Linked DNA regions of Xenopus tropicalis. The protein of the gene in region 2 interacts with the protein of the main gene of each other region in a biochemical or structural test. Links are inferred from orthologs where the notes say so. Each region holds a gene or a part of one and is shown on either strand. Other genes may lie near its edges.

Region 1 (4,610 bases), about 93 Mb from region 2:
CGTTCAAGAAATACACTTTACCACTTGGTGCTTCTGAGTCAATATCTGCACAAAAAGCCCAAAACTGGTAGAAATCCTCAGGCATGGTGAGCCGATACTGGGCCTCTACCTCTTGTTGTACATCCTTCGAAACCTCTGATCTGCCCGAGTGCCTCTTTTTTGCATCACACGGTTCTTCACACTGTTAAGAAGAACATTTAAAACATCAGTATCAAGGATTTTAGTTACATAACAGAAATGCTGTAAAATAACTCAATTGTGCACTTGGACTGTGTTGTTCTAGATTTTCCATGCTGTGGGCCATTTACCCTTTCTTTCTCATGTAATACAGGGGATGGATTTTAAAACATTCAGATCATTCTTCTGAAGGGCCACCTTTGGCCTAAAACATCTAGGGGGGAATTCACAAAAGTGGAGATAGCCCTCTTTTGGAGTAAAAGTGGTGGAAAACACTTTCTCCAGATTCACAAACAGAAATCCGCCTAAATTCCGACTCAACCGCCACTTTTCTGTTTTTGGTGAAAGAAAGACAGTTTACAAACACTTTTGTGAATTTGTCGTTTAAACGACATTTATACGACGTTTTAACAACATTTTTCCCCCGACATTTTCAAAATGGAGTAAAGCTCAGTGTAACTCTGTCAGACCAATTCTAAGCTCTTCTGTTTTGTTTGGTTTCCCCCAGTCTCCATTTCACACCTAAGGTAGGGGCCCCATTGGGGGGTCAGTAACATATTAATGGGGATTAGCAGCCTATTGTTAGGGGACAAGTTTCTGTCTAACCCTAGAACAATAGGTGCAAAAGCCTCATTAACATTTTATAAACAAGTAAAACACTGATTAAAAAAAGTTTAATTTATATCTTATATATAAAAAGTTTTTACCTCACATTTGCATTGCTATGCTAGTTTTAGCTTAATCAATGAGACAATAATAACATTTTGCGTGAATATATTGTAAACATTTTTATTAAAAGGAAAAGTAAAGCCTCCCAGGCAAATTTTTAGTTTTAGCAGCAGTGCCCCCTCTTTAACCACTTCACTGACATTTGCCCCAACTTATCTGTGCCCCCATAGCCTGTCCAGAACTACAGAGCTGCCTGACAGCATTGGCCCCCACCTGCTCCCAGCAGCCATCTTGGTGGCACATACACACTAGCACCCAAACTGGGATATTGGGGTACAGGGTTGGACTGGCCCAACAGGGCACTGGATAAAAACCCAGTGGGCCCTAGTCCTGTTGGAGCTCTATTCACTGGGCATGTAGGTGTGGGGGCTGGATTGCTGCTGCCCAGTAATGAGCAGGGGCTAGAGAAGACGGTATTTAGACCCTTAAATCTTGTTACAGAAGTGGAATTACACAGAAATATAGAAAACATTATAAAGCCCAGATTGTCCTGAAAAAATGATGTATAGTTTCCCTGGGCAAACTAAAAATTACCCCTCAGGAAATGCCCCCAAAGTGAAATGGCATATAAAATGCAAAATCCTGCTGGTAAAATCCTTACCCCGAAGGCTCCTGTAGCTGTGGGACTGGGTTTGGAGGCACAGACAGATTTACTAACAGCTAAAGGCAAATTCATAAAAAAAATGTCTGGAAAATGACAAAATCTGAAAACTGTCTGTTTAAAAGACAAATTCACAAAAGTGGAGATAGATAGATTTGTCGGATTTTCCACCTAATTCACAAACATCTATCTTTTGTGAATTCCCCCCCTAGTCTTGCTTAAAATTGTATACAGCCGGCTTAGCTCAAGAACAATTGTGGAAGGCCCTAACCATCTATGCACTTTCTGTATTCAGTTAACCTCTGATTGCTGCTTCTCAGCTGAGCCATAAGCCTATTACAAGTCTAAAAATGCAATCTCAAAAGCCACTAATAATAAAGTGAAATGGCATTAGCAAAAGTGCTGAGGGAAACCAGTCCAAAACCTGCCCTTTATCCTTGCAACATTGCCAAGGCACCCCCCTTTCTTTCTCAAGCAACTGCTAAAATACTCACCCATGCCCTTATCCTATTCCAACTTACTACTAACCTCTCTCCCTGCAATCAAGCTAAACCTCTGGTGAACCCTCCCAATCTCTCCTAAGAGGGAACCCACTCAACCGCTGGTAAAATCTAGCTTTATCGTGGCTGCCTGTTAAGCAAAGGATAGCATACAAACCCTACTGCTAACATTCAAAGCCTTTCACTCCTCTGCCCCTTAAGGTGCCCATACACCTTAAGATCCGCTCGCTACGGGTGGGCCCTGGGGCCAAACGATCAAATTATAATGACGGGCATAGGCAAAGTTGGTCCGGGGGCCACATGATTGAGCCAATGCGGTCCCCGATCCGACTAGATATCGGTCGGGCAGGCCCGTTAGTAGTCCCCATACACAGGCCGATTAGCTGGCGAATCTGTGGGACCGATATCAGCAGCTAGAATCGGCCCGTGTGTAGATTCCACACTTAATAACAAAAATATCTTCAATTTAAAAAAGTGTCGTGTTTTTATATACTTGTCCTGTCTGTGTGTACTTTTCTATAAAGTCAAACCGTACAGTGCTGTGAATCCCAGTAGCATAATATAAAGTTAAAAATATATACAATTCATTGATCAAATATTTGGGTATAGATTCTCTTTAAAAGGCCAGCAACGTGAGGTAATGTCAATATTTGGAAATACATTTATTATACCTGTCAAAATACTAATTTCATGTGAGCACCAGATACACTGTGCTTTATACTCTCTTCTGAGCCACACATACTGGACCGCGTATCTTCGCGTATGTTCCACCTTACGAGACAATTAAGGAGCTAGTTTGCAAGCGCTTTTCGTTATGTTCCAGACATTTTACCCCTAGCTCTCACCTGCTGAGCAGCCGGCTTTTTCCTTTTCCCTTTCCCGCCTCCAGCCATGACAGGTCTCCTGCCTCTTCCGCGCACTTCCAGTGACGTCATCACAACGTGCCCTTCGCTTCACCTCACGCATGGCGCCTTTTGTTAGAGCCTGGCGGTAGCTCGCAGGGGGCCACGTATTTCATAAAATAAGCAAAGCTAAGGCAAGAATAGCGGACAGTGAACCTCTTACATCAAGGCATAACATGCCTGTAAACGGGACAAAATTACATTCTTCTTGAGCTGGTAAGGTGTAACTCTAATTAAACCACTAGAGGGCAGGCTTACTCCAAACAACCCAGTTGTCCAAGTAAGAATAGAGAATAAAGGAAATTCATACAAGATTATCGCACTGTGCAGTTCTAAAAATGGTCTCGGAATTTTATATTTGCAAGCATTTTTATGATGTTCTGCTTAAATGAAGTATTCTGGTATAAATGTGATAGGGCTGAGAATTATTAAAGGGTTGGAGGGGCTTGTTTGTTGGATACAGAAGTCTGTAAAGGCTGGGGCTGAAGCTCAGGGCCTAGGGCAGTGGTGGCAAATAAGGTTGCCCCCTGGCTGGAACGTTACTAACCTGGCTAGTAAAACTGATGTCTGCTGTCAATGTAAATAAGGAAGAAAGATAATATCGAAAGGCCAGTACTGTGTTACAAAAAAAGGTGGCAACCCTAATTATTATTATTAATAACATTTATTTATAAAGTGCCAACATATTCTGCAGCACTGTACAATAAGTGAGTTTCATACAATGGACATACAGAGTAACATATAAAGCAATCAATAACCGATACAAGAGGTGAAGAGAGTCTTGCCCAATAAAGCTTACAATCTTACAATCTACAATCACAAGTAAAGCAAAATTCATGGCTTAGGGCTGTGACACAAGGGAAGATTAGTCAGCGTGCAACAAATCTCCTTTGTTGCGGGCGACTTATCTCCCCGAAATGCCATCCCACCGGCTAAAATGTAAATGGCTGGTGGTATGGCATACGAAGTTTCCTCTCAAGACGCTCCCTTGCCCTTATCTCTACTACTCCACCTTGTGGTTGTGGGGTGTCCAATAAGGGGCCCAGTTACTAAAGTTTGTAAGTTTGAAAGGTTAAAAAATACAACTCTTATAAAGGCATCCTTTTGTATAACTTATAGCGCTGGCTTATTCTTGTGTGCCTGCTGGCATTCAGTAGCAAATGCGCTGCTTGAAGATAGCGAGTCCAGGAGTTAACGCTCTGTCTCCTCCCTGCTGCCGCCGGCAGCCTTACTGTAAGTCACATGAGCCGATTTTTATCTATCGCACATGCCTATAAAACTAAGTTCTCCTCTCAGCAATAACGCACAGCTCGGGACAAGTGGACAGATTTTGTGCGCATGCGCATTAGCGATTTGTGGTCAGCGCTTCCTTTACTAAGATGGCGGCAGTGTTACTAAAGACAGGATGCAGATTAGGAACAGGTAAAACTTTTTAATAAAAGGATTTTATGGACTAAAAACATAGCGATCTTCTAGTAGTATCAGAGACCTACTATAGGGGCAGGCATTATATTTTTACATTCATTCTTCTTTAAGTGTAAAAACCATTAAAAACACTAATACAAACATCTAAAATTATTTTTTTCACATGTAAGCTCGTAAATATTCTTCCAAAAAGGAGGCTCTTGAGGTTTTTTTTCCCATGCTTTTTATATTAGGCTGTTTTAATAAATTACTTGACATCTGTGGTTTTACATGAAA
Region 2 (3,821 bases):
ATTTCTATATGCTGCTTATGCTTAAGGAAAAAATTGCCATCAGTGGGGACTGAATAAGCCACCTACACAAAAAAGAGGGTTGACCAAATGACAACTAGAGAGCAGCAAATTTGAGGTATAAAAGAGATGCTACAGATAAGACACTGTGTAGCAATTTAGTAAAAGGTAATTACTCATATAAATTATATAAGTATATAATTACTAATATAAAATTATGATTATGTTTTACTTATAGTAACCTTTTACATTTTTATTGCATATAACCCCTCTTAAGTTTTTTGTGTGTTGAATAATATCTTGAAGTGAAAATTCAAAGTTGTTTTGTTTCTTCTTTAGTTCAGGGAAACGATTTGTGACAGTCTCACCAGCTGCAGGGGTGTCGATAAAGGTAGATATGCAGAAAATGGTTCAGAAAAACACACAGACTGGGTACCAGAGATTTGTCCGACTGGCAGTTCAAGATTGTGACAAATGTAAGATGCCAAATAATTTTCCCTGCGATCGTGTCTTTGAATCATTCTTTAATTTAGAGTATAAACATTTGACTGCAGAGAAGAACCAACATGTAATCTTTCAAATGATTAAAGATTTAAAAGATTAATTTCATAAATATTTATTTCAAATGGCCTTACTTTTGTGCAAGCCATGTATGCTTATAATTTAATATATATATATATATATATATATATATATATATATAATATGCTGTTACTTAATAAACGTCAAAAGCCAGCTTTTACTAATTCCACTAAAATTTTGCAGTTTGGGACATTGTTTCGTTCTGTGGAAGATATAAACTTATGTCACAAAAATAAGCAGTATGGACATAATCAGTTAATTATAGCTCTGGCATAGAATAGCTAATGCCATGTAATATTTATAGAAAGTGAATGTAAATGCTACTTATAGGCATCCTTCTTGCCTCAGACATTATAGGATAAAAATGGATTTAAAGGGGATATATAGCATATTCTAAAAACACCCTCATCATATAGGCAGTGCTAAATACATGGTGGCTGATTGTATTTGGGCCTAAAAGCGTCCTTAACTAGGAAGGGCAGATGCCATTAAAGGAGAAGGAAAGGCTAAGTCACTTGGGGGTTCTAAAATGTTAGGCACTCCCAAGTGACTTTAATCGCTTACCTTGTACCCCGGGCTGGTGCCCCTGTTAGGAGAAAACAGCACCAGCCCAGGGTACCTCTAGCGATGCGCTTCCTCCTTCTGGCTTCATTTCGCTGCGACTAGACGATAGGCGCATGCGCAGTACAGTGAAAAGCCGACTTCTCTGTTAAAGTTCGATTTTCACTCTACAGCGCATGCGCGCGCTCATGAAGACAGAAGGAGGAAGCGCTGCAGCTACCCCGGGCTGGTGCTGTTCTCTCTGAACAGGGGCACCAGCCCGGGGGAAAAGGTAGGCGATTCAAGTCACTTGGGCGTGCCTAACATTTTGGCACCCCCAAGTGACTGATTTTCTTACAAGCTAGCCTGCTTGTACAGCTTTTACAGTGACACAAGTCCATAGGATAGTTTTTCCAGCTTTAATTTAGCAGATACTGTGGATCAAAGTGGACAACCGTGGGTCAGATGCAACACCCTAATGATTTTGTTCCCATCAAACCACTACAGAGCATAACAAAAAGTTATTGTTTGTACTGTACTCATAACTTTTGAATCAGCTAGAAAATATCAGCACCTTAATTACAAAGTAGTTTTTTTCCTTGTAAAGTTAGTGTGCTTTATTGCGATTCTGTTGTCTTTCAGATTTTGTGTGGCAGTGGTGGTCTGATGAGGGAGACTGGATTTCCTATGATGCTTGCACGTGTGTGGCTCTGGAGGCTGGATTTCAATCAGAAGCTAAGATGGTGTCTGTAAGCTTGGGGGGTCGCCCATACATCATCGATTTAGAAACAATGGTGCAAAAAAACAGTCAAACTGAACATGAAAGACAGATTCAACGCTGTTTATCTGGTAGGTTCAAAGATGTTAAGAAAAAACCAGTGAACAAGTCTTCATAAAAGTCTTCTAAAATGTTTTGAAATTGCTTTGAGAGCGTTATTGAGAGAAGATTATATTAAACTAGGTATGTATGAGTGAATTCTCTTTTTTCAAGTTGGTAGGTAACTTGTGCTGATTTGATAAAGGCTAATTATTGGATCATATTTAGGAGCTATGCAGATCCAGGCAGAGGACCACAAATGCAGCCCAGTACAGTCCGTGTACTGCTGTACTGATCAGTATCCAACAAATACTAAATATCAGTCTGATACACTACATACATGGGCTGATAAGTTGCTAACTCACTCAAGAGTTGGCCGAGTGGGCAGCCAATATTGGCACATGTATGGCCAGCCTAGTTTACTAGTACATGTGTATGCTGTGAAATAGGAAAACATAAAAGGGCTTATCTGGCCTGGTTTCTCTTTTGCTGCAGGTCCTAGTAGTGCTCCTCAGCAAAAGAGCACCATTAGTGCACCTGCAAAGAGATCCCGTGGAAGCAAGAGTGTTATAAATGTAGAAGATGAATCAGAGGAGAATAAAGGTAAATATAGCAATATTTCTTTTATTGTTGAATTTTTATCTCTTGTGTCAAAAACAAATTATTTTTACTGAAGTGCCTCTTTAAACAGAACAGGTTAGGACTCTGGTAATGAAAGGCAAAGCTCCAGTAGATCCAGAATGCTCCACGAAGCTGGGGAGGGTATGTACCTAACTTCTTAATGACTATTTATCAAAGTCTTGCTGCACATGTAATGGACAAAACTAAATAGGCTACCTAGATTTTATTGCTCAACAATACTGCAAAGTCCCATGACAGAAGAGACCAACACAGGCATATGTTGTGATTAAATCTAGTGCCATGCATTATTTCTGCTTTTCCCTATATCCTGTGCCCCACCTAAGTTATCATTTAAAAAGTGCCAACATATTCCACAGAGCTATACAATAAATGGGTGTATGCAATACACACAAATATTTTACAATACAGAAACAACCAATAAGCAAAAGTCAAAATAAGCTTATTATTGTTATTAATTTAACATATTTATAAAGCAGAATTATATTCTGCAGTGCTGAAATAATCACTGAATTGCATACAAAAATACAACTGATAATCAAAAGAGGTAAAGTGGGCCCTGCCCAAAAGAGCTTAGCTCTTCAGCATATGCCATGCCCTCCGATACCTACTTCCCTAAACTCTCTGATATCTGCTTAGTATCTATCTTGCAGGGTTAAACATCTTCCTCCAAGCCATCCAATGACTGTGCAACCAAGCCAGATCTAAGTTGCTCTTAGTAACGTTAAGATTTTTCTCTCCCTAACAACCAATTTCAGTGCAATCCGTCAAATCTGTCAAATTATTGTAAGGTTAGTGGACACTAAATGATCAGACAGGTTTGAAAGTTTTCATTGTTAATGAAATTTGCCCATTGTTCAGTTGTTTGCAGGACCAAACAGGTAGTTTTTCTAGCTTCAACTAGACAATATCGCTTAAATATGGCTTAAAACGATCATTCCAGGATAAAGCTGCCCATACACGGGCATATCCGCTTGCTTGGCGATGTCGCCAAGCGATCGGATCTTCACCTGATATCCCCACCTACGGGTGGGCGATAGGGCCAAATGATCGAATTCTAATGGCAGCAATGGGGCAGTCGGTTCGCGGACCGCATTAACGAGCCGATGTCCCCGATCCGACTGAATTTTCTAACCTGGCCGATCTGGCCAATTTCAGGCCCCTTGTTTCTGCCCCTACACGGGCCGATAAGCTGCCGAGTCGGTCCAAGGGACCGATATCGGCAGCTACTATCGGGCCGTGTATG

Evidence for each region.
Region 1: the proteins of parp2 (region 2) and hpf1 form a complex in vitro, tested with the Homo sapiens proteins (2 studies listed by BioGRID). The link is inferred for Xenopus tropicalis from reciprocal best matches to the Homo sapiens genes PARP2 and HPF1.

What each region holds. Positions count from the first base shown.
Region 1 is NC_030677.2:49,949,224-49,953,833, reverse strand, and holds the start of hpf1 (histone PARylation factor 1), read right to left. Parts: upstream 2,970-4,610; 5' UTR 2,943-2,969; coding exon 2,853-2,942; intron 2,698-2,852; exon of another isoform or gene 2,679-2,697; intron 182-2,678; coding exon 22-181; intron 1-21. UniProt on the Homo sapiens protein: Cofactor for serine ADP-ribosylation that confers serine specificity on PARP1 and PARP2 and plays a key role in DNA damage response.
Region 2 is NC_030677.2:143,423,543-143,427,363, forward strand, and holds part of parp2 (poly [ADP-ribose] polymerase 2), read left to right. Parts: intron 1-336; coding exon 337-473; intron 474-1,761; coding exon 1,762-1,968; intron 1,969-2,431; coding exon 2,432-2,539; intron 2,540-2,627; coding exon 2,628-2,698; intron 2,699-3,821. UniProt on the Homo sapiens protein: Poly-ADP-ribosyltransferase that mediates poly-ADP-ribosylation of proteins and plays a key role in DNA repair.